7 linked regions of the Cricetulus griseus genome follow. The protein of the gene in region 1 interacts with the protein of each later gene in a pairwise test. Links are inferred from orthologs where the notes say so. Each region holds a gene or a part of one and is shown in the gene's direction. Other genes may lie near its edges. The genes, in order: Pnma1, Ubqln1, Suv39h2, Snrpb2, Lnx1, Mettl17 and Mcm7.

The links.
Region 2: the proteins of Pnma1 (region 1) and Ubqln1 interact in binary tests that used the Homo sapiens proteins (3 or more experiments, as listed by UniProt). The two-hybrid records come from large-scale screens. The link is inferred for Cricetulus griseus from reciprocal best matches to the Homo sapiens genes PNMA1 and UBQLN1.
Region 3: the proteins of Pnma1 (region 1) and Suv39h2 interact in binary tests that used the Homo sapiens proteins (3 or more experiments, as listed by UniProt). The two-hybrid records come from large-scale screens. The link is inferred for Cricetulus griseus from reciprocal best matches to the Homo sapiens genes PNMA1 and SUV39H2.
Region 4: the proteins of Pnma1 (region 1) and Snrpb2 interact in binary tests that used the Homo sapiens proteins (3 or more experiments, as listed by UniProt). The two-hybrid records come from large-scale screens. The link is inferred for Cricetulus griseus from reciprocal best matches to the Homo sapiens genes PNMA1 and SNRPB2.
Region 5: the proteins of Pnma1 (region 1) and Lnx1 interact in binary tests that used the Homo sapiens proteins (3 or more experiments, as listed by UniProt). The two-hybrid records come from large-scale screens. The link is inferred for Cricetulus griseus from reciprocal best matches to the Homo sapiens genes PNMA1 and LNX1.
Region 6: the proteins of Pnma1 (region 1) and Mettl17 interact in binary tests that used the Homo sapiens proteins (3 or more experiments, as listed by UniProt). The link is inferred for Cricetulus griseus from reciprocal best matches to the Homo sapiens genes PNMA1 and METTL17.
Region 7: the proteins of Pnma1 (region 1) and Mcm7 interact in binary tests that used the Homo sapiens proteins (3 or more experiments, as listed by UniProt). The two-hybrid records come from large-scale screens. The link is inferred for Cricetulus griseus from reciprocal best matches to the Homo sapiens genes PNMA1 and MCM7.

The regions. Positions count from the first base shown.
Region 1 is NC_048598.1:119,613,430-119,617,687, forward strand, and holds Pnma1 (paraneoplastic antigen Ma1), read left to right. Parts: upstream 1-1,458; 5' UTR 1,459-2,124; coding exon 2,125-3,186; 3' UTR 3,187-3,913; downstream 3,914-4,258.
Region 2 is NC_048596.1:277,235,694-277,239,862, reverse strand, and holds the start of Ubqln1 (ubiquilin-1), read left to right. Parts: upstream 1-1,369; coding exon 1,370-1,525; intron 1,526-4,169. Other genes in the region: translation initiation factor IF-2-like, read right to left, coding at 342-1,079, 1,123-1,371. UniProt on the Homo sapiens protein: Plays an important role in the regulation of different protein degradation mechanisms and pathways including ubiquitin-proteasome system (UPS), autophagy and endoplasmic reticulum-associated protein degradation (ERAD) pathway.
Region 3 is NC_048596.1:220,775,487-220,779,701, reverse strand, and holds the start of Suv39h2 (histone-lysine N-methyltransferase SUV39H2), read left to right. Parts: upstream 1-1,415; 5' UTR 1,416-1,541; coding exon 1,542-1,572; intron 1,573-3,851; coding exon 3,852-3,997; intron 3,998-4,215. UniProt on the Homo sapiens protein: Histone methyltransferase that specifically trimethylates 'Lys-9' of histone H3 using monomethylated H3 'Lys-9' as substrate.
Region 4 is NC_048599.1:35,869,397-35,872,896, reverse strand, and holds part of Snrpb2 (U2 small nuclear ribonucleoprotein B''), read left to right. Parts: intron 1-1,509; coding exon 1,510-1,560; intron 1,561-2,911; coding exon 2,912-3,000; intron 3,001-3,419; coding exon 3,420-3,500. UniProt on the Homo sapiens protein: Involved in pre-mRNA splicing as component of the spliceosome. Associated with sn-RNP U2, where it contributes to the binding of stem loop IV of U2 snRNA.
Region 5 is NW_023276807.1:141,124,660-141,128,159, reverse strand, and holds part of Lnx1 (E3 ubiquitin-protein ligase LNX), read left to right. Parts: intron 1-3,065; coding exon 3,066-3,200; intron 3,201-3,500.
Region 6 is NW_023276807.1:206,958,790-206,960,999, forward strand, and holds part of Mettl17 (methyltransferase-like protein 17, mitochondrial), read left to right. Parts: intron 1-605; coding exon 606-700; intron 701-1,181; coding exon 1,182-1,252; intron 1,253-1,543; coding exon 1,544-1,651; intron 1,652-1,874; coding exon 1,875-1,943; intron 1,944-2,210. UniProt on the Homo sapiens protein: Mitochondrial ribosome (mitoribosome) assembly factor. Binds at the interface of the head and body domains of the mitochondrial small ribosomal subunit (mt-SSU), occluding the mRNA channel and preventing compaction of the head domain towards the body.
Region 7 is NC_048597.1:116,883,176-116,885,694, forward strand, and holds part of Mcm7 (DNA replication licensing factor MCM7), read left to right. Parts: intron 1-74; coding exon 75-212; intron 213-723; coding exon 724-873; intron 874-1,043; coding exon 1,044-1,158; intron 1,159-1,242; coding exon 1,243-1,374; intron 1,375-1,535; coding exon 1,536-1,619; intron 1,620-1,727; coding exon 1,728-2,121; intron 2,122-2,355; coding exon 2,356-2,439; intron 2,440-2,519. UniProt on the Homo sapiens protein: Acts as a component of the MCM2-7 complex (MCM complex) which is the replicative helicase essential for 'once per cell cycle' DNA replication initiation and elongation in eukaryotic cells.

The DNA.
Region 1 (4,258 bases):
AAAGACTGTTACATATTAAATAGTGTACATATATATAAATATTACCTCTTTTGCTGTACAGTTGTGATAGACCAGACTGAAAATTTTATTTTTTGTGTGCTTTTTATAAAAAAATTAATACACTAAAGAGAATCTTGCTGTGATTGTAATGTACCTATGTAACTTATTTACTTTTGAATGTTCTGTATCTTAAGACCTTTTATTAAATAAAAATTTTAAAAAATTCACTGTTGAATGCCATATTCTTGGTTTTTCTTTTTCTTTTCTTTCCTTTTTTTTTTTTTTTTTTTTTTGAGACACGTTTTCTCTGTATTGTTTTGGAGGTTGTTCTGGAACTTGCTCTGAAGACCAGGCTGGCCTTGAACTCACAGAGATCCGCCTGCCTCTGCCTCCCGAGTGCTGGGATTAAAGGAGTTTGCCACCAATGCCCGGCGCCATATTCTTTTTTTTGTAACGATTTGTTTATTTTTATTTTATTTGCATTTGTGTTCTGTGTCTGCATGTGTATCAGTGTGAGGTTGTTAGATCTTTGGGAACTGGGGTTACCGACAGGTGTGAGCTGCCATGTGGGTTCGGGGAATTGAACCCAGGTCCTTTGGAATAGCAGCCAATGCTCCTAACCAGTGAGCCTTCTATCCAGCCCCCAATGCCATATCTTTATAGGGGTGGGGTTTGTGTGTTTATTTATTTATTTGATTTTTTGAGGCAGGGTTTCTCTGTGTAGTTTTGGAGCCTGGCCGGGAACTCAATTTATAGATCAGGTTTGCCTTGAACTCACAAAGCTCCTCCTGCCTCTGCCTCCCGAGTGCTGGGATTAACGGCATGGGCCACCAAGGCCCGCCTGATTTATAGGGATGTTTTTGCCAGCTGGGATTGACAGGCCTTGCTTGAAGAGAATTTACCCTACCTTTCTGAGCCTTAAGCATTCTCTTTTGTTATCCTGTATACTCAGTAAGATCAAGAAATGAAAGTGTTTGCAGTTTGCCTGGCTACAAAGAAGTAGCAGCAGCAGCATTTTGTTGGTTTTTTTTATATATATATATACAAAATTTAGGCAAGAAAGCATAGTAAGTCTCACAGGAACCTGGAGATGGCATTCTGTCTTTTGCTTTCCTGGGGAGGAGCAAGCAGCAGCTGTGGTGTGTGGTCAGGAGGTACGCAGAAGTCAGAGTGCTGAGTGTTTTCATGGGCTGCATAGTGAATGCATAAGCTGGATGAGCAACATGAGACAGACAAGTCTGTCGTGGTGGATGCGTATCAATAAGGCCAACTTAAATTCACAGCAAAATTAGATTAAGAAAAAAAGAAAACGATGCTTTGCAATATTTATTGTTAAGAAAGAAGCTGGGAAATACGTGTGTGTGTGTGTGCGCGCGCGCGCGCGCCATCACAAAATAGACTCCTCAACCCCTCGGTACCATAGCAACCGCCAGATCCTCTGGAGCTCGCGCATCTCCCGTCGTCATGGATACGGTTGCCACGGCGACACTGACGAGCGGACCGGCCCCGCCCTGCACTGCAGCTGCACGGCGGCGGCCGTTGCGGGAGCGCGCTGCTCTAGACGCTGAGCGGAGCTGCCTCCATCCGGCCTCCCGCCTTCCGCGCCTCCCTGAGGCCTCCGTCCCCGGTGCTCGCCTGCTGCCGCAGCCGCCGGACCCGAGTACCGCCTCTCCCGGCGTCTTCCCAGCCACTGCCTCGCGTGACCCTACGCCCGCGCCTACCGCCGGCCGGCCGGCCCGAGAGCGGCGGGGGGGAGCTGCCACACCCCGCGACCGCACCCGGCCGTCTCCCTCGTGAAGCTGAAGCCCACCGCCTTGCGCCAACCTTGCTTCTCCCCTGCCCGCCGTGAGGCCACGAATAGCTGCGGCCAGCCCGCACCTGCTCGGACCAAAGAGGGCGACATTCGATAGGCAGAGTGCCCCGAGGCACCTGACACTACTGACTTTGGGACCCGGAAGGGACGAGACTGGACTCCGGTGTCACTGGTAATTGTGGTTGCTTGAAGCTTGTCGCCCCCTGGCCTACCCGGGGGAGGGAGGCATGTTGTATTGTCCTAGGTCCTATAGCACTGCGAGCCAGTCCAGTCGGTGTCTGTAGAACTGGCACCCTTAATAGTGGGGCGAAATGGCTTTGACGCTCTTGGAAGACTGGTGCAGGGGAATGGATGTGAACTCTCAGAGAGCTCTGCTGGTCTGGGGGATCCCTGTGAACTGTGATGAGGCTGAAATCGAAGAGACCCTCCAAGCTGCCATGCCCCAAGTGCCCTACCGAGTACTGGGGAGAATGTTCTGGAGGGAAGAAAATGCGAAGGCAGCCTTGTTAGAGCTCACCGGGGAAGTGGATTACTCCCTGATCCCTAGAGAGATGCCAGGCAAAGGAGGGCTCTGGAAAGTGTTCTTTAAGCCCCCCACTTCTGATGCGGAGTTTCTGGAGAGGCTGCACCTCTTTCTAGCTAGGGAAGGGTGGACTGTGCAAGATGTTGCTCGTGTGCTTGGGTTTCAGAACCCTGCTCCCGCTCCAGGCCCAGAAATGCCAGCAGAGATGCTCAATTATATTTTGGATAATGTTATTCAACCTCTTGTTGAGTCCATATGGTATAAGAAGCTGACGCTATTCTCTGGGAGGGACATTCCCGGGCCTGGCGAGGAGACCTTTGATTCCTGGCTGGAGCACTCGAATGAGGTCATAGAAGAATGGCAGGTGTCTGATATAGAAAAGAGACGGCGGTTGATGGAGAGTTTGAGAGGCCCTGCTGCTGATGTCATTCGCATCCTCAAGACCAACAACCCAGCCATAACCACCGCGGAATGCCTGAAGGCTCTTGAGCAGGTGTTTGGGAGCGTGGAGAGCTCTAGAGATACACAGGTCAGATTTCTGAACACTTACCAGAACCCCGGGGAAAAGTTGTCATCTTACGTCATTCGTCTGGAGCCTCTGCTACAAAAGGTAGTGGAAAAGGGGGCCATTGATAAAGATAACGTGAACCAGGCTCGCCTGGAGCAGGTCATCGCCGGGGCCAACCACAGTGGGGCCATCCGAAGGCAATTGTGGCTGACTGGGGCTGCGGAACGACCGGCACCCAACCTCTTCCAGTTGCTGGTGCAGATTCGAGAGGAGGAAGCCAAGGAGGAGGAAGAGGAAGCTGAGGCAGCCCTTTTGCAGCTAGGCCTGGAGGGGCACTTCTGAGTCCCTGGATCAGTCTGGCTGCTTTTGTTATCCCTGTGCGGTTTTACAAGCCTTGCCTCTCATAGTAAAGACCTAGCCTCCTGTTTTTGTTTTGTTTTCTGGGGGATGGGATAGGGGAGTCAGGCCTGCGTATTTGTGTAGCAGTCACAGAATTGCGTGATTGGCCAGGGCTGCAACAGTAGAGGTGGTTCATACTGCCTAAAATGAATGCTTGATGCAAGCCCTCCTAGTGACATCTTTGACAGTTGTGAAAAATGTGAAGCTGAGACACTTCCTGTCAGGATGATTGTGAAAGTGCAAGCCTGCTTCACAGGCTGTATGGTACAGACTGACATTTGTTACTAATATTGTGGATAGTTTTACTGTACATTGTCCCTAATTTATATACATGGGAAGAATATGAGTCTGTTAGATGATACTGCTCATTTTGAAAATTCAGATTTCTCATTCCTCACGGCTCAACATCAGAACCAGTTTACCAGCAAAGTACTCTAGGATTAAAATTGGCAAGTTAGAAAAATGTGATTTTTATGAAGAGGCACAACCTACTTTTCATGGTGTAAGATACAAATATAAGTCAGGGGGAATTTCCATAAACAAGCTACATTTTCCCCACATGAATTATTTGTCATTTAATTATTGGTCATGTTGATGCTAAGTGTTCTAAATTTGAAGTTATCAAATAGATGTATACAAATAAAAATGTGAAAATTCTCATCTTGCTTTTCCTGACATGTATAAAAAATTTTCAGTGTAACTTAGCTCTGCACATTTTTTCTCTGCACATTTTTGCTCATGTCAAAAAATTTTTTAATCTCCTTGCTATGAGCTTAAATTGCAATATCACCTACACATTCTTGTGTTGCCGGTTCCTCGGTTATTGTTTTGTTTCTTTTTCACGGTCCCACTCGATAGCTAGCTGAGGCTGGCTTGGAATTCACTCTGTAGCCCAGGCTGGCCTCAAACTTGTAGCAATCCTCCTGCCTCCAGCCTCCACAGTGCTAGGGTTACAGGTGTGAGCCACCTCACCCAGCTATTTCTTTTAGATACAGTCTCACTATCTAGCTCCGGC
Region 2 (4,169 bases), on another chromosome or scaffold:
CGTCTCGTACCTAGACATAGGCCTTGTAAACGCTTCCTGTCGCTGAACAATGCTGGCAGGCACTAAGTGATATCCACCGATACCTCGTCTTGCAATTTACACCGCCGCCGCAACTCTGACCCAGATTTCAAAGGGCTCTGCTAAGACGTGTTTATGCAACAGCAGTTAATCACGGAAAAGGGTTCGATGGCCTAAGAGCAAAAATATGGGATGTCTTTGCGTATTTGGGTCACGGTGCTCTGTCAGCGCTCACCTTGGTGCAGCACCAGCTAGTGTGCCAAGTGCCACAATGTATCGCAAGTTATGGATGGCGTGGGGGTCACGGCTGAAACGGAAATAACTTAACTGGACCTACGTTCTCCACTGGGGTTACCCCGGAGGGCACCTCGGGCCTGGGGGGGGGGGGGCGCAGTAACTTTGGACCGCGTCCTGGAGGCGCACACGAGCCCCAGGCTGCAGCCCACCCGTGGAGCGGCCCGCCCTGGGCACCCGCGTCTGCCGCGCACAGCGTGGAAGGCGGAGCAGGGCGGCCGTGTGTCCGGCCTGGCTCCGGGGACGGGGCCGCGGCCTCCCTGCACCCACGCCTGCGGGCTGTGGGCCCCGCGCTGGCGCTGGCGCTGGCGCTGCCCCGCGTCCGTTCCCGTCTCCGCGCCCGCCCGCGGTGGCGCAGCTCCAGCGGGGCCCAGAGCCGGGCGGGCGGCCCCAGCCCCTTCCGCCCGGGCACACGCTGCGCTCCTCAGAACCAAGTGCCCGCGCGGGCCGCCGGCCACCGGGGCCGGGTCGGGGGACACCGGGAGCGCAGGCCCAGCGGGCCAGGCCGCTTCCAGCAAGTTCGCCGCCGGCCGTGACGTCATTTCAGGGCGCCGCGGCGGCGCCCCGCAGAGACCCCGGGGAGCGGCTCCCGACGCAGCGGGGGCGATGAAGCGAACCGAGTTAACTCGCTGTCCCCTTCCCCCTGCCGCCGCCGCGGCTGCCTTGGAGCCGGAGGAGCCCGCGCCCCTCGTCAGCCCGGCGGCGGCGCGCGGCGGCGGCAGGCGTGAGGCGGGCGAGGACTCGGCTTCCCGGCGTGCCCCGCGCCCCTGAGTCGGCGCGGCGGCCAGCGCGTTACCCAGCGTGCCCTGCGCGGCGCCGGCGACGGACGTGGGGGAGGTGCGGGAGGAGGAAGCGGCGGCGGCGGCGGCGGCGCGGCGACGCGGAGACGGCAGCCGAGCCATCGATCGCCCGCCCGGGCCCGCACCGCACCGCACCGCACCGCAGCCCGTGCCCGCGCGCCCTCGGCGGCCCCGCCGCAGCCCGTGCCCGCTCCGCTCCGCCGCGCCGCGCCGAGCCGGCCGCAGCCCGCAGGGTCCCGGTCGCCTGAGTCACCGCCATGGCCGAGAGCGCCGAGAGCGGCGGCCCCCCGGGCGCGCAGGACGCAGCCGCGGCCGACGGCGGCCCCGCGGAGCCCAAGATCATGAAGGTCACGGTGAAGACGCCCAAGGAGAAGGAGGAGTTCGCTGTGCCCGAGGACAGCTCGGTCCAGCAGGTGAGGCCCCGGGGCGCCGGGGCGCCGGGGCGGGGAGGGCGGCCGGGCCCGGCCCTGCGGGGCTCTGCGGGGCTCTGCGGGGCCGGGGGAGGGCGAGCGGCGGCCGCCGAGCTCCGGGCCTCGGCTCCTGACAAAGGAGCGGGCGGGCAGGGCGCGGGCGGCGCTCGCTCGGCCTCTGTGGCCCGGCTGGCGGGGCGGCGGGGCGGTGAGGTGAGGCGGGCGGGGCCCGGTGGGGGTCATTGTTTCACCTGCCGGCGAATCGCAGAGATTTGGGGGTGAGGAGCACGTGCAGGCTGCGTTCTGTGTTGTGTGTCCCCCCCACACCTTTCAGCCTTTTATTATATATACGCTATTATATATATACATATATATTTAAAATTGTGACGTGGAGATCGCTTTCAGTCAGCCTGGTGATAAGCTCACGCCCGAGGGAGAAAAGTCAAAGACTTTGATTCACGGACGACTCGCTGTTTCTGTCTCAATAACCTTCGTCATCGCCCAGCCGCTCGCCCGCTCGCCGGCTCGCCCGCCCGTCACGGGGCAGGTTATTGTTCGACTCCAGGGGGACGAGAGCCATACCTACCTGCCGGGGTGTTAGGTGGTTGCCGCCGGACGCAAGAAAACAGAATTGGTGTTAACGGGGAGTCTTACTAAACAAATAATCGCTTTAAATCCCGTTCAGGGAAAGCAAATTTTGCAGCTAATTAAGAGCCCCTGGTAAAAGTTAGCAGATTTATCTGTTTAGCACGTTCTAGAGCACTCGGATTGTTGACAGTCTCAACATCGTGGACGGTTTTGTGCGAGGACGCAATTAACAGGCACTGGAATGTGCCTTTAGGTTCTCTGAACGTTTATCTAGTTCCAAAGGTGAAGTCGTTTTTTTTTTTTTTTTTTGTTTTTGTTTTTTTTTTGTGAAACAGGAGGGTGTGTGGCATCAGCTGAGGGAACTACTGTTGACTGAATCACCATTCCTTGTTAACGCTGCTGTAAAAGGTTGAACGTCTTTGTGTTTTCCAGCATGTGTGTGCCTCACCCACGATTGACATTTTCCTGCACTTGCTGTGTTATGCGTCCCTTATTTCTAAAATACATTTTTAAGGTGTAAATACCGATATCGGTATCACCTTACAAGGCACGTAAGCCGTGTGCGTGTTAGTTAACTTGAAAACCACTGTTGTGGAAATTTATTCCACATAAATTTGATGTGCACGTGGGTGCCTTAGCCAGTTTTCACAAACCCATCTACACCTGTGCCAGCCAAGCACACAACTAGGTGTGGCCTGTTAGAGCTGACTTGAAAGCTTTTGTCTCACCTTCTCTTTAAAGAAGTCACTCTTTGTCACCCCCGTGGGGATTTTTTTTTCCCCCACCAGAGATTGATTTTGCCTGTCCAGAAGTTCACATACGCAGAGTTGTATATAATGAAATCTTTTGGGAAAGACTTTTTTTCTTTCCCTCTTCAGCATATTTTTGAGATTCATCCTTGTGAATGTTTGTACCCCTCCCACCCCAGATGTTTGCATACTAGGCACAGGCTCCACTCTACCACTGACCCATGTCCCCAGCTCAGTACCTAACTGCTCTGTGGTTTTCCATAGCATGCATATGCCACAATCTACTGTCCAGGGTCTTTCTCAATTGTAGTTGCTGTGAACAGTCGCATATAAATCATTTTGACAATATATGCCTTTATCTGCATTAGAATGCTTCTGTTTACTTTTTGAGTTTTGTTGTGGTGCTGTTTTGGTTTTTCAAGACAAGAGTTTCTCTGTGAAACAGCCTTGGGTGTCCTGGAACTCTATAGTCCAGCTCAGAGATCCACTTGCCTCTGCCTCCCTAGTGCTGGGATTAAAGGCCTGTGCCAGCATGCCCTGCTATTTTGTTTGTTTTATTTTGAGACAGTGTTTCATTATGTAGCCCCAGCTGTCCTGGAACTTGCTTTGTAGACCAGGCTGACTTGGATCTCACAAGTGCTGGGATGGATTGAGGGCTTGCGCCACCTCATCTGGCCAGTTCTGTTTAGTTTTATAAGACACAACCAACAGCATATGGGTGTGTATTTCTCTTGTTCTGTATCCTTGCTAATATTTGCTATGTACAAGGTTTTTTTGTTTGTTTGTTTTTATTTTTTATTGTAGCTGTTTAATGAATGTGTAGCGATAATAAATCATGAAGCTCTTGAGTCTAAGATTCCCAGCTTAAATTTCCATCCTGACAGCTTCCCCATTTTATTTCAGGACTTTAGAAATATAATAAATGAAAAAATTATTTATGTGAAGATTTGTAAGATTTTTTTTTAAAGAGTGACACTAAAGTTTTAAATTCCGTAGAAGTTTATATTTCACTATGCTGTAACTAAAAATGATTTAATGGGTAAAAGTAAAACCTTCCTAAAGTAACTTACTCTGATATTGCTTAATGTTTAAAGCTTTCTCTGTTTTCTGTGGAAACAGAAAATGTGATGAAAGTTGAAAGCTTACCCCTGTACCACAAACGGAAAACACATCAAACTGCTGAGTGAGTCAGGGGAGCAGACTTAGAAACATGTACAAAAAAAATATAAAACTATTTGTAGCACAAGACAAGGTCTACCATTTTGTAACTTAATTTTTCTTATAGAATTTAGTAGGTTTGATATTTACTA
Region 3 (4,215 bases), on another chromosome or scaffold:
AAGCAGGGATAGAGACAGAGTGCCTTTAGAGGCCTCTCAGAAGAAGTAACATTTGAGTTAAAACCTAGCTAATAAGAAGATAGCCACATGAAACGGAGGAGAGTTTGCCCTTTGGGCTAGACAGCGATTTCCAGGTTAAAGTGTTTATTTAGAGCAGGGAGTGTCGGCTCACACCTGTGGCCCCAGCACACCAAGGTGGAAGCAAGACCAGGAAGTCAAGGTGATTCCCACATACAAAGCAAGTTTGAGCCCTGTCCCCAAAAAGACTCCAAGAGGACACTGTTTCCTTTCTTGTTTAGCAGGTGCCTGGCACATAGGAGATACACATGAAAATATTTTTGAATATGCCTATTATATTTGAATTGTGTGTGTTGTATTTGAATTGTGTAAGTATAATAGTTGAGTATATGAAAATTTGAAAAGCCATAGAACATAGTGGGCAAAAGGGAGAATGGTTCAAAGCAAGTGAGAAAAACAGACTTCTAATCACTGGTGGTCTCATAGGCACCGGAAGATGTGCTATGCGGTGAAGTACTTAAAGTTGGAGAAGGGTTATGTTTCACTTTATGTTTTAAAGCTACTTTAGCTCCATGGGAAGTGGCTACAAGGGGAGCAATAGCAGAGGTCAAAGCAGTTAGACTTCTTTGACTGAGAAATGATGGTGTGGATAACAGTAATAGCAATGAAAATAGAGAGGAGACAGGCAGTGTGCGTTTGCTATTAGCACTGACGTGACTTACCAATGGAATTACAGAAGGCTTTTGTGTATAATGGTTCCCTTACAACTTTCAAGATTCACAATGGTGTGAAAATGATAAGTGGCCCAATTCTCCCTGAGTGTAAATGGCTAAAAACTGAGCAAAGCTTAAAGCTGTTAAGGAGGATAAAGTAAGTCCTAGTTGTAAATGTACCTTGTAAGTTTGCTTTAATTAAGCTCAGCTGTTGGCTGGGTTGGTTTTATTTTGACAACTCTCAGCGCCTTCCTTTGGATCCAGCTGCTGCACGGCCATATCAACTCAGCAGACTCTCCTTGTGTGATCCAAACAGACCACTTAGATCCAAAGTGAGGCCACCTGCATCCAATTTTGAGATCCTGCTCTGCAGAGGCGGGGAGTGAAAGGAAAAGCTTGCTTGGGTTCAAGCGCTAAGGAACAAGAGTAGGAAAGTAGCTATCTGTGCACTCTAACCCACACAGCACATTTTGCATCTTATAACGTGCGTGCCATGCCTTTGGGACGAGACTCAGAGCACCGAACAGGGAGGGAATCCTGGCATGCAGCCTTTAGAGTCAAAGCGAGGACCATACCAGGAGGGGCGGGGCCTGTCGGCAGGAGCTAGTTGTGACCCCGCCCCTTTGTGCCCCCCCCAACGTGCCGCGCATGCGCAGTGGCTACTACGGCTGGGGTCAACCTCCACTGACGTCAGGACGCCACACTGCTTCCAGCCTCCCATCTCTGGAGTCCCTCGCGGGCCGGGGCGGGGCGTCTGGCCAGCTGAGCTCTTCGGGCTGACCGCGCCAGTTTGAATGAAAGCTCCGCAAGATGGCGGCGGCCGGAGCCGAGGCACCGAGAGGTGAGACTGGAGAGCGGTGTCACCGGCCGCCAGGGCCGTTCCCGAGGCCCGAGCCCAGCCGGACGGCGGCGATGTGGGCGGGACGCCGCCGAGCGGACACCCCGAGCGCCGTACGCTGGCGGCGGGCTACGGGCCCGGGACGCGCCGGCTCCGTGCGAGCGTGGTTCCGAAAGTCCCGCGGGCCCGGGTCCTCGGTGGCGAGTGTGCGCGCCCCGCCTCTCTGAAGGGTGAGCCGGGAAGCACGCGCGCCGCTGCCCTAGCGGTCGCCACCTTCGCGCGGTGGGAGCCGGGCTGAGGTGCGCTGCCCGCGTACGAGCCGGCCTGGCACCGCTGCGAAGTGTCTCCCCTCGAAAGTAGATGTCTGCACACACAGCCCTGAGCTCCTGGAAACTTTGGGGGGGCCCGGCTGGAACTTGTGGGTTATTTATGTGGGTGTGCGGGGGGGCGGCGTGTGTGTTGAAAGTAAAGCATTCTGGAGTGAAAAAAAAAAAAAAAGGTTGTTCTCCAGCTAGCTTTTTCCTCTGCTCCACTCAGATGGTGACACTTTATTATCCCCGTCACTCGACTTCCTTGAGGTGTTGCGGGGGTGGGGTGTGGTGGAAGGATTTTATAAGCGGGATGTCATAAACTAATCCGGACAATGAAACTTTTTTTTCTCCATCATTATAGGCTGTGGAATTTTGTAAACCAAGGGTTTGCAGATTAAAAAAGAAAAAAAAAATCCCGAAATGCTCAAAATGTAGCATTTCTGTTGAGAGATGCGTCGTACTTACACATAATGGTCGTCATTATGACATTTTCATTCGAATACGTGTGTTACCGAATTCAACACCACTCTCCGCTATAGGGTTGTGTTTTTGGATTCTCAACTAGGAGTAAAAAATTTAAAACAAACACCTTGGGTACATAATAACCAACAGGTCTCTCCTTTACAGATGATTAACATAAGGAGATTAGCCTTACACAAAACAGCCTTAAGATTTTTGGATGGAAGCGATTAAGAAGACGGTTTTTATACCTGTCCTACCCCCAAACCACCACACCTAAACAATGTATTTTGGCAAATTTGAGGAAAAGACTTTGCCTTTTACGAGTGCCAGAAATACGAGTCTTTTCCATTGATTGGAGTGGGGAAATGATGCTTAACAATTTCCTTTAATGAAGTCCTAACGGGGGAGGATGATGAAGGGATGTGGGGAAGTTAAAACAGTCAGGTTCTCCTGTCCCTGAAATCTACCTCAAAACGTTTGCCTACTACCTTGAAGAACTATTAAATACAGCATGATGAACTAATGATACATTTTGTTTGGTCACTTCTTTTCACCACTCTCACTTTTTCTTTTCTTTTCTTTTCTTTTCTTTTTTTTTTTTTCAGTGAATGTGATACCCAGAAAGCTTGAGCCCTTCCTAAAGTTGTGTAGCTAGGTGGCCCACCAACAAGTAGGGTGGAGGGCTTTTGATCATCTAGTATTAGATTCCCCTATTAGACGTACAGTGAAGTTTTACATTTTCTAGACATCATTTGTGCAGTTATATTTTAAATTTGGGATGGAACACAGTTCATTTCTGGCCTGTGTAAGGTTATTGTTAGTATGTCTGACTTTCTTGTTTATGGATAATTTACTTTGAGTTTTCTGTTTTGTAACTGCTTGCTGGCTTTAAACAGTCCAGGAAATGGCATTATAAAGCCCAATATACAATATAAAATAGAAAAGTAGATGTTTCTATTTTATGCATGTTGATAATACATTTCACCATGGGCAAAATAAATGAGACTTGTGGTATTCCTGAAATGGGCAAAGTAGGATATGGATTTAACTACAGAACTATATTTCAGATTTAAAATCTTACTGTGTGATTAAAAGAAGCAAAGGTTACTTTTAAATTGTGATTGTTTTAGAATATATTTTAGATACATTTCTAATAATATGTCTTAGCTGTTTATTAAGAGAACAGTTACATTCTGTGTAGAATATAATGGAACAGTAAAAAAAATTTAGCTCTTTTCATTTTTGCATTTATAGTAATCTTAAGTAAACTTAGACATGAAATATTTTAAGTGGCCAAGCAAGAATTAGCCTTTGCCAATAGAACAATAGGATAGAAGTTCAATTCATCAAAAGTAGATCTTTATCACGTAACTTTTTTCTCAAACACACATAATTGGCTTCTTGTCATGTTCGTTTCTTACTATAAAATTGTCAGTTGGGAAGTTTTTAAGTTTTTGTTTCATCCTAGTAGCTATTTTATTAGTAAAGAATTCTATTTTCTTATTGTAGCCTGGTGTGTGCCTTGCCTAGTTTCACTTGATACTCTTCAGGAATTATGTAGAAAAGAAAAGCTCACATGTAAATCGATTGGAATCACCAAAAGGAATCTAAACAATTATGAGGTGGAGTACTTGTGTGACTACAAGGTAGTAAAGGTAAGGCAATATCTAGCCCCTTGAAAGAGACCTATTCACACTGCAGTATTTCATGTTTCTCTAGCATAAAAATAGACTTAAGAATAAACAAAGCTCTTCTTTCTGTTTAAGGTTGTAAGTCATAGACTTTTGTGCATTGTCATCATTTTTGTTGAATAACACTGAGGGATTATGAAGTATAAAGTGCTCTTGCATTAGAATATTTAGGGTATTTATAT
Region 4 (3,500 bases), on another chromosome or scaffold:
AACTGGCTCTGTAGCCCAGACTGACCTCAAACTCACAGAGATTTCTGCCTCTCCAGTGCTGGGATTAAATGCTTTCACCACCACCACCACCCTGCTAAAGGTGAAGTTTTATATATGTGTATATATACATACATACATAAATACATACATACATATGCATATATGTATAAATTTTATTTAAATTAGAACAATCTTATTTTACATATCAGTCCAAGTTTGCTCTGCCTCCCATCTTCCCATTCCCCCCATTGACCCCCCCATCCCATCCCCCATCCACTCCTCAGGGAGGGTGAAGCCTTTCATGAGGGACCATCAAAAATCTGTCAAGTCATTTGGGGTAGGGCCTAGGCCCTCCCCTGTGCGTCTAGGCTAAGAGACTTTCCCCCCATGGAGAATGGGCTCCCAAAGTCCATTTGTGCACTAGGGATACATCCTGGTTCCACTGTCAGGGGCCCCATAGACTGCCTAGTCCTCCTACCTGACACCCACATTCAGGGGGCCTGGTTTGGTCCTATATTGGTTCCCTAGCTGTCAAACTGAGGTTCATGAATTCCCACTAGCTAAGGTCAACTGTTCCTGTGGGTTTTCCCAGCATGGTCTTGACTGAGCCGAACTCCTGGAATCCAGTTGTAGAGATGGAGGAGTGATGAATGAAGTTTTAAGAAGCTGGGATAACAAAATTCTAAAATTCTAGGTTTATATTTAAGGAACAATTTATAATACCAGCCTTTACACTTAGAGATTTGCAATAAACAGTACTAATCTGATTTACATATTGTTTTTGACATCTTTATCTAAAACCCTACTTATTGGTATTTTTCTTAAATTCTTCCTATAAATCATATGCAGTCTCTTCATCATGAGTATCTTACTCAGAGCCTCTGAACAATTCAAGAGGCAAAAATTGAAATCCAGTAGAAGTGAAATTATTCAAAAAAGTAGTTACCTCTGAGTTAATTATTTAAATCATTTTGATTCTGTGATTTTGATTGTATAATGCTTATGGTTTTTTTTTTTTTTTTTTTTTAAGTAAGACTCTCTCTGTCTTTATCTCTATTTCTCTATCTCAGCTCTTGTAACCTAGAGGAGTCTGTTCACCCTTGTGACCCTCCTGCCTCAGCCACACAGCACACTTGGTCTCTCCATCATTTAAAGTTTAATGTTAAAGCCAGGTGTGGTGGTACACACCTTTAGTCCCAGCACTGGGGAGGCAGAGGCAGGTAGCCTGGTCTAAATAGTGAATTCCAGGATACCTGAACTACATAGTAAAATCCTGTCTCAAAATAAATAAATAAAAATTCAAATGTTAAGGTTTATGATGTGGTCTATAGAGTTGAGAGACATACATTTCAATTTACAAGCTAAGTAAATAATTTAAGACATCTTAAGGTAAAATGGAATAAGGTATCTTTTACAGTGAATTTAATGTTGATTTATGTTATAAATTGCAGTTGCTTTTTACCATGACTGAAATTCAGTCATTTCTTAATGCCAATTTCTTTTTTGTAGGGAACACCAAATTCGGCTAATACTCAAGGAAACGCAGCACCAAATCCTCAGGTAATGTTTTTCTTCATGGGGTGCTTACCTTAAGATCATAAAAATTATGGCAGTATTAGTGTTCATGTCTGCAAAAGCAAGTAAATCCATTCACAAGACATAATTGCCTGTCACTTTAAGAAACTTACTCTAAGATGAAGAAAACAAAACCAGGCCTGATTTCTGTTTTCCATGAATTGGGGACAAGATCAAAAAGGCAGGGGGTGTAAGGCCTGAGAAAGGGCTTTTGGTTTGGGTCGGGCACTTGTCAGCACTTCACAGACATGTGGTCAGAGGACCTTGGGAGGGGCTGTTTCCACCCCAGGTGTCTGACACTGCCCTGTCTTTCTCAGATTCATAGTGGGCAATGGTGTTTAAGTTTTCTGCTTTCAGTAGAGTCTAAATTATACAGTCTGACGTGTCCACAACTTCTCAGTATTACAGTTGTGTGCGTTTGATTTTTTCCTCTCCTTTGGTGTTGGTGACTGACTCCTGGGCCTAGCCTATGCTAGGCAAATGCTATACCACTGAGCTGTCCAATACCCCTTAGCCCCTCTGAGACAGTCTTGATTCTGCTCTCAAACCTCTCAATCCTCTTGTCTCAGCCTCCTGAGTGCTGGGATTACAGATAGTTGTCACCATACTTGATCTTTTATGATCTTTCTTTCTATTCCTTGAACTCTTTCAGAACTTGTAGTCAATTTACAAATACCAGCACTTAATTCTCTATCTTGAGCTGTTCAATAATTATTTTTTACACTTGATCTTTTCTGTCCATGTAATTAGCAAGTAGACAGAGTTTCTTCTTATATGTAAGTCTTTTATACACTCCCTGTAGACTCAGGATGGGGTGCCAAGCATGTGACTTAATGTCTAATATTCTGCTCAGTTATGTTTGTTTTATATTAGTAGACAAAGTACATGCCATTTACTGTGTACATGCATGCACAGGAACACACAGAGTAGATGCCAGCAGGGTGTGATTGTCAATAGTAATGTTTCAGTTTAGAATGATGAGCTGAGGAGGTCTATGTTGCTGCCTTTTCCAGTTTTTAGACTTTGAATTCTGTATTCCAGGTCACAGAATTCCCCAGTTAGCACTGGTGCTTCACCTATAAATACTGTTTTCACAGAATCATAACCTTCCATACTTGGGGTATCCTAACTTGAATGTTGGCTTCCCTATTGTTAGGTTTTTAATCTGTATCTCTGGCGTCATTGTTTTTAGCTTTTGTTTTAGTGTGTTAAGATTTCACAGGCGCATATAGGCTGCAATGTAGTTCTCTGAAGAAGTTTTCATTTTTTCTCACAGCTAAATACTTCACAGCACAGTTTATATTCACAAGCTAATTTTGCCTTTTGTTTCTAATAGGTCCCTGATTATCCTCCAAACTACATCCTATTCCTTAATAATTTACCAGAAGAGACGAATGAGATGATGTTATCCATGCTGTTCAATCAGTAAGTTCTTTACTAAACAGATCTGTTTGTAGTAGCCTTCTAACAGGACAAATAGTGCTTCTATGGACTGAGTTCATTTGTCACCCCACAGCAGTAGTTCTCTGTAGGGTCATTGATTTAGTCTGGTACTAATCATGGATTGGAGCCTAAGTTAAGCTCTAAGCTTAACGAATAAAAGGATAGATTTTCTCTGTTGGAGTTATTCTAATAAATGGGTAAAACAGGAAACCTTTGACATACTGACAGTTGTGGAATTAGTGTGGACTCTTGCATTTCCTTGATGGTACAATTTTATGTCAGGTGCCTCCATCCTACTTGGGATTCTTGATTGAATGTAATTAGTTTTCCTAGACCAATAGCAAGTTGTTCAACAAATTTATTCTACATTTGCCTGTGTTTATTGCTTTTGTTTTTTCTAGGTTCCCTGGTTTCAAGGAAGTTCGCTTGGTACCTGGGAGGCATGACATTGCATTTGTAGAATTTGAAAATGATGGGCAGGC
Region 5 (3,500 bases), on another chromosome or scaffold:
CTGCTCACTGTCCAAGACGGACAGGACACAATCCCAGCTCAGAGCTGAAGCTCTGCCAACAGCCTTCTCAACAGTGGAGTTTCCCCAAAGATAAGAGAGAAAATTTGGGTTCTGTGATTGAGGTTTTGACCTAAATGTTCATTGTTACTTATCTTCCCATGAGTTCTGCTTCACCGAGTTCTTGAAGATAACCTTTTAGTGAAACTTGCAATCCAGAGAAGAGGCACAATTACTGCAACACTCTCTTCCAGGAATTGAACAGAGTTAGCTTTTCTTCATGGTGTGTTACCTGTGAGCTCTGTGTGTGTGTGTGCCTAAGTACATGTGGAGACTCGTGTATGTTCTGTTCTGATGCAAGCTTCAGATGTGGTAAGGGACCCCAGGGAATTCAAGATAGACTAGCAAAGGAAAGGCACACAAGCACTGACTGGATTAGTTAGGGCTATGCATAAAGGAAAACAGGCTAAATTCAAGCTTCCTCTGTGGGGCTGTTTGATAGCATTTTCTGCCATGAATACGGAATGAACATTTCACCTAGCTGACCATCCATTGTGATATTTATAATATTCTTACTATACCCAACAATTGGATTAAAAATTAGTCTAATTTATAACCACCCACCTGATGACCCCCAAGTTTCAAGAGAACCTTTGAACAGAGATAACATTGTAAGGAAGGTTTGGGCTGGTCAGTGCTGGACAAATGTGAGGATCCAACTGCATTGGCGGAGTTCTTGGTTCTTAAGGCCCTAGTTCCTGAGGGGAAGAGGGAGTTATGTGCTCTGGAAACAAAGGTGAGAGTAGTAGTTTCTTAGTCTCCGTGGACTGCTATGGAAACAAAGTTCCATAAACAGATTGCCTTATTAATATGAACAACAGAAATGCATTTCTTACAATCCCAACCATCAAGATATGGGCAGGCTCAGTATCTGGAAATGCCTCCTCTCATTTAAACCTCTGTGTGTGATGCATGCATTCATGTGTGTGAGTGTGGGTATGGTCATGCCACAGGAGGCATGTGGAGGTCAGAGAACAACCTAGAGTATTGGTCCTTACCTTCCACACTGTTTGAAAGTTTCTTATTGTTTGCTATTCGATGTGCCAGCCAGCTTCTCTTGTCTCTGCTTTTCACCTCATCATAGGGACACCAGAATTACAGACCCTTTCTACCTCTTCCATCTTTACATGGTACTCATGCTTGTTCAGTAGGTCCTTTATCCACAGAACCATCTCCATCCCCAAATGACTTAGTGATAAGTATTGGATCCCCAGTTATTGGGTATTCTCTGCCAATGCAATAAGCCAAATCAAACTGAATTAATAAGATCAGGTTTTAATAAACAGAGCAAAGCAACACCCAGGTGACTCTCAAAAAGGCAGGAGACAAATCACATGGCAGGTAGGGTGACAAGGTCTTAAATACCCTGTAGGCGTGGTAATGAGCAGCCCCAGGGGAGGAGCTGACCCTTGGTGGGCTTTCTGAGGGGCTGGGTCTGGAATGGGAGGAATGAAACTGGAGCAGAGATTCCCAACACTCATGGGTTAGGATTTCCACACATGAGGGAAATACATACACTCAAACCATAGCCAGAGAAAAGCAAACATCTTGATTCCCACTGTCTGAGCTAATGGAGACAAGCAGGTACTACCTGGTCTTTCTTTTATGATCTTTCTTCTCCATGACCCCATGCCCATGCAGGAGAGACAGGCTCATCTGTGTCTGTTTCCACTGCAGTCAGTAGTCAAGAGCTGGAATAACGAGGCCAACTATCAGACCTTACATTTTTCCATCTTCTTGGTTCCCAAACCTTTTTCCCAGGTACCTTTCTAACCAAATTGAGCCATGACTCTTCCATCACCACTTTTCACTAAAGTGATGGGAGGATCCACTTGCCATTTCAGTTTCAGTAATCAGCCTTGTTCCTATGAGATCCTCAGGCCTAGGGTCTTGTCTGTATGCCCTGCAGATCTGAAACCTTGGGGTTTGGCATGTCTGGCTTCTGACACCCACAGTCAGGGATATGAGAAACTGACCTGTGGTGGAGAGCTAGTGAGTAACTTACTGCATGGAATGAACCTTCCCAATAAGCAATACATTTACTATTCCAAATCTTCTGCCTAAGTACCAGTGTGCATAAGGATCAGAATTAGTGATAGTCACTAAAAATGGTCAAGGTAATGGCTTTAGTCTGAATGTCATCCCTGCATTCCAAAGGTTCAATGCCTGACTCTCTAAGATTGCAGACACAGTATTTTCATTTCTATAGTGTCAGGGTTGCTGCCTCTAACCGCTTCTCTTTACTGCTGACCATTGAGCTAGAATCGATGTAGTGTACTTCACACCATGCATCTTGCTCTATTCAGCAAGACTTCCAGCCATGATTGTCTGCAGCTGAGCTTGCCACTAAACGTACATTAGCAAGACCTGATGGTGTCTCTTCAAAAGCTTGCGTGAGTCAGGCCTTTCTTAGGTTTTTGCCTTGAAGCGATGTTTACCCCTCTGGTTTCAAGTTAAAGAAAATAGTTTATGCTTTTGCCACAGTAGAAGCTGGGCACTGACATGAGAAAATCTAGAGTGGGGGCTGGAGAGATGGATGGGTGATTAAGTGTGCACACTGTTCTTGCCAAGGACCTGAGTTCCATTCCCAGCCACCACACCCTGTGACTTATAACCACCTGTACACCAGCTTCAGGGAAATCCAATACCCTTTTCTGGTCTCAGAGGACAACTGCACTCACATGTACATGCCCACATAATACATGCATACATGCACACCTACACATAATTAAGAACAAAATAAATCTGTTTTCAAATATATATCCTTCCATCTTTGACTACACTTTTTCAAATGAAGAAATCTATAGGGGTTGGGGTAGAACTCAATGACCAAGTACTTTATCTAGCCTGCTCAGAGACCCTGGGCTCAGTCTCTGGCACTGCCTAAGAAAAGAAATGCTTGACACTTTATTCTTCCATTAAATTTAAAAGTAGAAATGAAAGGGGTACTCTGGTAAGGCCCTGGAGCCAGGTCTGTGAAGTGGCTAATTTGATGTCCTCTTGTCCAGGCCAGTGAAAGACGTGTTCATCTCATCGTGTCCCGCCAGGTTCGACAGCCCAGCCCAGACATCTTTCTAGAAGCTGGCCAGATCAGCAATGGCCGGTGGTCCCCAGGCCCAGGGGAGAGGAACATGGCTTCTAAGGTGAGGCCCAGCCAAGTGTGTCTGCAGCTCCTGCAAAAGGCTATTTCTTAGGAAAGCTGTATACTTTAATGTCTCTAAGGGCTATCTCTGGACTTTGTCATTTCAAGAAGTGCTACTCATGAAGCTAAAAGGCCAAGGTCCTATTTTCATACTTGGGAGGTAACAGGTGTCTCCTATCCAAGCAGGAGTGGGGAAGGTGTCGGGGGTGTGTTTAAATCCCAGCTTGCAACCTGTCCATAAAGGACCAGATTTCCAGCCTAAGTCAAATGTATGTCATATTTTAACCAAGTCTCCTTCTGT
Region 6 (2,210 bases), on another chromosome or scaffold:
TTAGTGTAGGGAATAGATTTTACATGCCAATCAAAAATTTTTTGTCGACGGGCATTGGTGGCACACTCCTTTAATGCCAGCACTCAGGAGGCAGAGGCAGGTGATCTCTATGAGTTCGAGGCCAGCCTGGTCTCCAGAGCGAGTACCAGGATAGGCTCCAAAGCTACACAGAGAAACCCTGTCTTGAAGAAAGAAAAAAAAAAATTGTCTACAAGTCAGTTTTGTTTTTTTTTAATCATCTGCCTTTTATTTCAGAAGTTGTAAATGTACCAAGAACATAAAATAACACTGTTAGCTTATCTGTTTTAATGTAATGCCCTGATTCCCCAGGGGCGGGATTGAGAGCAGGTGGGTTTCTTAGAGGAATGACCGTGTCGGGACTGGAGAGATGACTGACTCAGAGGTTAAGAGCACTGGCTGCTCTTCCACTGGTCCTGAGTTCAATTCTCAGCAACCACATGGTGGCTCACAACCATCTATAGTAAGATTTGGTACCCTCTTCTAGCATGCCAAAACTGTATACATAATAAATAAATAAATCATTAAAAAAAAAAAGGAATGACTGTGTGTCATAAAAATTGGTGGTTTTCATCTTGCCATCTCAGGGCTGCTCACAGTACTTGGGGCCAGAGCCTCCGTGAATATGTGTGTGTGGACAGTTCAGCAGCCATGTTGGGTTTGGCTGAAAAGCTACTAAAAGGTGAGACCAAGCTCTAATCCAGGGATTTCCAAAAGTTGAGGGAGTTAGGAAAGAATTTTATTGGGATGTAGAGGAGAGAGTTATAAATTAAGATAATCGGCCAGGCGTTGGTGGCTCATGCCTTTAATCTCAGCACTCGGGAGGCAGAGGCAGGCAGATCTCTGTGAGTTCGAGGCCAGCCTGGTCTCCAGATCGAGTGCCAGGATAGGCTCCAAAGCTACACAGAGAAACCCTGTCTCAAAAAGCCAAAATTAATTAATTAATTAATTGAGATAATCTGGGCTCCTTCCAGTATTACAGTGAGACAATATTAGAGGCCTTTATGGGACTCTGGTTGGTTGGATGGGATTAGTAGGCCACGTTTTTAATTACAGTCCTGCACCTCTCAGCTGGGGTTATCTGAGGAATGTCTCTTCACTGAGTGTAAACTTTGGCTATAAAGTTTATGTTCTGTCTTTGCTGCCACATCTTTCTTCCGTAGGTGGTTCAGAATCAGGGAAGCCCTGTATCCCAGGTGTCTTTTTCAGACAGTTTCTACCTGTGTCACCCAAGGCAAGTAGCAAGTAAGTTATTCTCAGATCTAGTGTGGCAGGTGGACAGCTGTGGTTTCAGCCTTGAAACCCACCATTGTGTGTTAGAAGACAAAAGAAGCAATAGAAGACATTTAAGACACCCATAATCTCAGGACTCAGGAGCTGAGGCAGGAGGATTACCATTGGTTCAGGTTCAACCTGGAATACATAATGAGATATCTTGGGGTCAGGAGGATTTAGAGGCTAGGAATTTGTTGTGCTTTTGGATAGGGCGATGTCAGATCTGTTTGTCCCTTATCTTGGTCCTCAGGTCCAGTTTGATGTGGTCGTGTCAGCCTTCGCCCTCAGTGAACTACCCAGCAAGGCTGACCGAGTTGAGGTAGTTCGGAACTTGTGGCGTAAGACAAGCCATTTTCTGGTGAGTTGAAATCCTTTCCCCCTCAAGTTTTAAAGCAGCTTTGTGGTTCTGTGCCTTGTCCTCTGGTTATCACATAGTGTTTTTTCTCTTTTATAGCTCTTTGCACTTCCTCAGGGTATCCACCTTTCACACAATGCCCACTTCCCTGCCAGTGTCCTGACAGCGCTACTGGCATTTGCTTTGGGATTCAGAGCGCCTGCTTATTTCCTCTGTTTGTAAACAGGTGTTGGTGGAGAACGGAACAAAAGCTGGGCACCATCTTCTCATGGATGCCAGGAACCTGGTCCTTCAGGTGAGGTTCCTTGTCCTCAGTCCTTCCCCTTTCTGTCGTAAGGTTACTGTTACTGCCTTGGAGCTGGTGGCTGTCCCACATCTGTAATGGTGACTCATGATACAGCAAAGTGGTTGGCAAATGAGAGTTTCTAGGTCAAACCCCCAGCACAGTACCTGTTGCCCTGGGAGCTATGCATATTCATGTCTTGACAGAGCTCACCCTGCAGACTGCAGTTAAGCACCTCAGAGATGGGTGCTGCTCACTCCTTTCAAAAACTTACTTTGC
Region 7 (2,519 bases), on another chromosome or scaffold:
CCCTGTAGCAGAGCAGAAATGATTCTTGTGATTGTAAGGGGCTTTTGCTTTCCTGTTTCCTGTTTCTTGTCTAGATCCAGTCTCCCACCTTCATGCCTTTGATAATGTGTCCCAGCCAGGAGTGCCAAACCAACCGCTCAGGAGGGCGGCTTTACCTGCAGACTCGTGGTTCCAAATTTATTAAATTCCAAGAAATGAAGATTCAAGAACATGTGAGTTGGGCGATGTGAGCCCTGCAGTGGGTTAGAAATTGGCAGAACGATGAGTGAAGAGCTAGGGAAGAGAAGTCATTTATAGTGCAATACGATCGAGGTTAAACTGGAATTTTTCAGCCGGGCAGTGGTGGCGCACACCTTTAATCTCAGCACTTGGGAGGCAAGACAGGCGGATCTCTGTGAGTTTGACACCAGCCTGGTCTACATGAGTGAGTTCCAGGACAGCCTCCAAAGCCACAGAGAAACCCTATTTCAAAAAAACAAACAACAACAACAAAAAAAAGAATTTTTCATGCTTTTAGACAGGAAGTCAAAATGTGATTTAATTGAAATTTTCTGGTTATATTGGGATGAGGGTAAGCACTCAACTTCCTGAAGTCTTCTAAGTTGGGCTGGCTGAGTCTTAACCATGGAATGGGCTTCTGGTGCATATTCAGGTCAGCTCCCTGTCTGCCTCACTTTTCTCCTTGTCTCATTTGTTCCCTGTTCTGTCCCCCAAAATGCCTAGAGTGATCAAGTTCCTGTGGGAAACATCCCTCGTAGCATCACAGTGGTTTTACAAGGAGAGAATACAAGGACTGCCCTGCCTGGTGACCATGTCAGTGTCACTGGTATCTTCTTGCCAGTCCTGCGTACAGGGTTCCAACAGATGGCACAGGTGAGGGCTTTTTCAAATGAGGAAATAGTTCCCTTTCCACCTTGCCCACCTGCTTACTCTCTTCACACCTTTAGAAAAGTAAAACCAATGACGTGCAACTTGTGGTTGTGAAAAAGTTCTTAGACGTTCTGGTTATGGACAGTTTAAAGGGAAGCCATTCTTCTGCCCAGGGTTTACTCTCAGAAACATTCCTGGAAGCCCACCGGATTGTGAAGATGACTAAGAGTGAGGATGATGCAGCTGAGGCTGGAGAGCTGAGCGGGGAGGAACTAAAACAGATTGCAGGTGAGGGGCTACAAAGTCAGGTTGATAGCTGAGTGTAACCCTAGCTTTTGTCCTGAAGAAAATGCTATGGCTTGACTTTTGCAGAAGAGGACTTCTATGAAAAGCTGGCAGCTTCTATTGCTCCAGAGATCTATGGGCACGAGGATGTGAAGAAAGCACTGTTGCTGCTCCTGGTGGGTGGTGTGGACCAGTCTCCTCAAGGCATGAAGATCAGGGGTAAGAAGGGCAGCAGAGATGGGATGGGGAGTGTTAGGAGGGTCAGAAGGGATCAGTCACATCAACACTAGTTGATGACTTGGCTCTGTGGTCTTAGAGGAATAATATGGAGTTTGAGAGGGGAACTGGGTCTCATGTCAAATGCTCTTCCCATTTTCCAGGAAACATCCACATCTGCCTTATGGGAGACCCTGGTGTGGCCAAATCTCAGCTCCTATCTTACATCGATCGTCTGGCCCCCCGAAGTGAGTATGGGCAGGGACAGAGCTTAGTGTTTGTTTGAAACACTAAAGCCTCTTGAAGGCATGAGGCAGTGGTTCCTTTCTTCAACAGTCTGCTGTTTCTCATTGCAGGTCAGTATACAACAGGCCGGGGCTCCTCTGGAGTGGGGCTCACAGCGGCTGTACTGAGAGACTCTGTGAGTGGGGAACTGACCTTAGAGGGTGGAGCCCTGGTGCTGGCTGACCAGGGTGTGTGCTGTATCGATGAGTTTGACAAAATGGCCGAAGCTGACCGCACAGCCATCCATGAGGTCATGGAACAACAGACCATCTCCATTGCCAAAGCAGGGATTCTCACCACACTCAATGCCCGGTGCTCTATCCTGGCTGCTGCCAACCCTGCCTATGGGCGATACAACCCCCGCCGAAGCCTGGAGCAGAACATACAGCTTCCTGCTGCTCTGCTTTCCCGATTCGACCTTTTATGGCTGATTCAGGACCGGCCTGACCGAGATAATGACCTCCGGTGAATAAAGTACAATACCCATAGAGACAGCCCGTTTTAGTGCTTTGGGGGGAGGAAGGTAAAATCAGAAAGCCACTCAATTTTTCCACAGTTCCTAGGGAGATGGAAGGTTGGGGCTGAGATGCTAAGGTTTTCCTGGGAGGCCTGTCTCTGCTGTGCTATGGCAAAGAGGTAGGGCTAAGATGGGGGGTCCTCAAGGTATATAGCTCTTAGTTTCGCCTGTGTTCTCTCTAGGTTGGCCCAGCACATCACCTATGTCCACCAGCACAGCCGGCAGCCCCCTGCCCAGTTTGAACCTTTGGACATGAAGCTTATGAGGTAGGGGTAGGGAGTGAACCCAGGTCTCAACTTTGTAGCCTAGCCATACAAGGCAGAGGGCATCATCAGAAGTTTTTTTT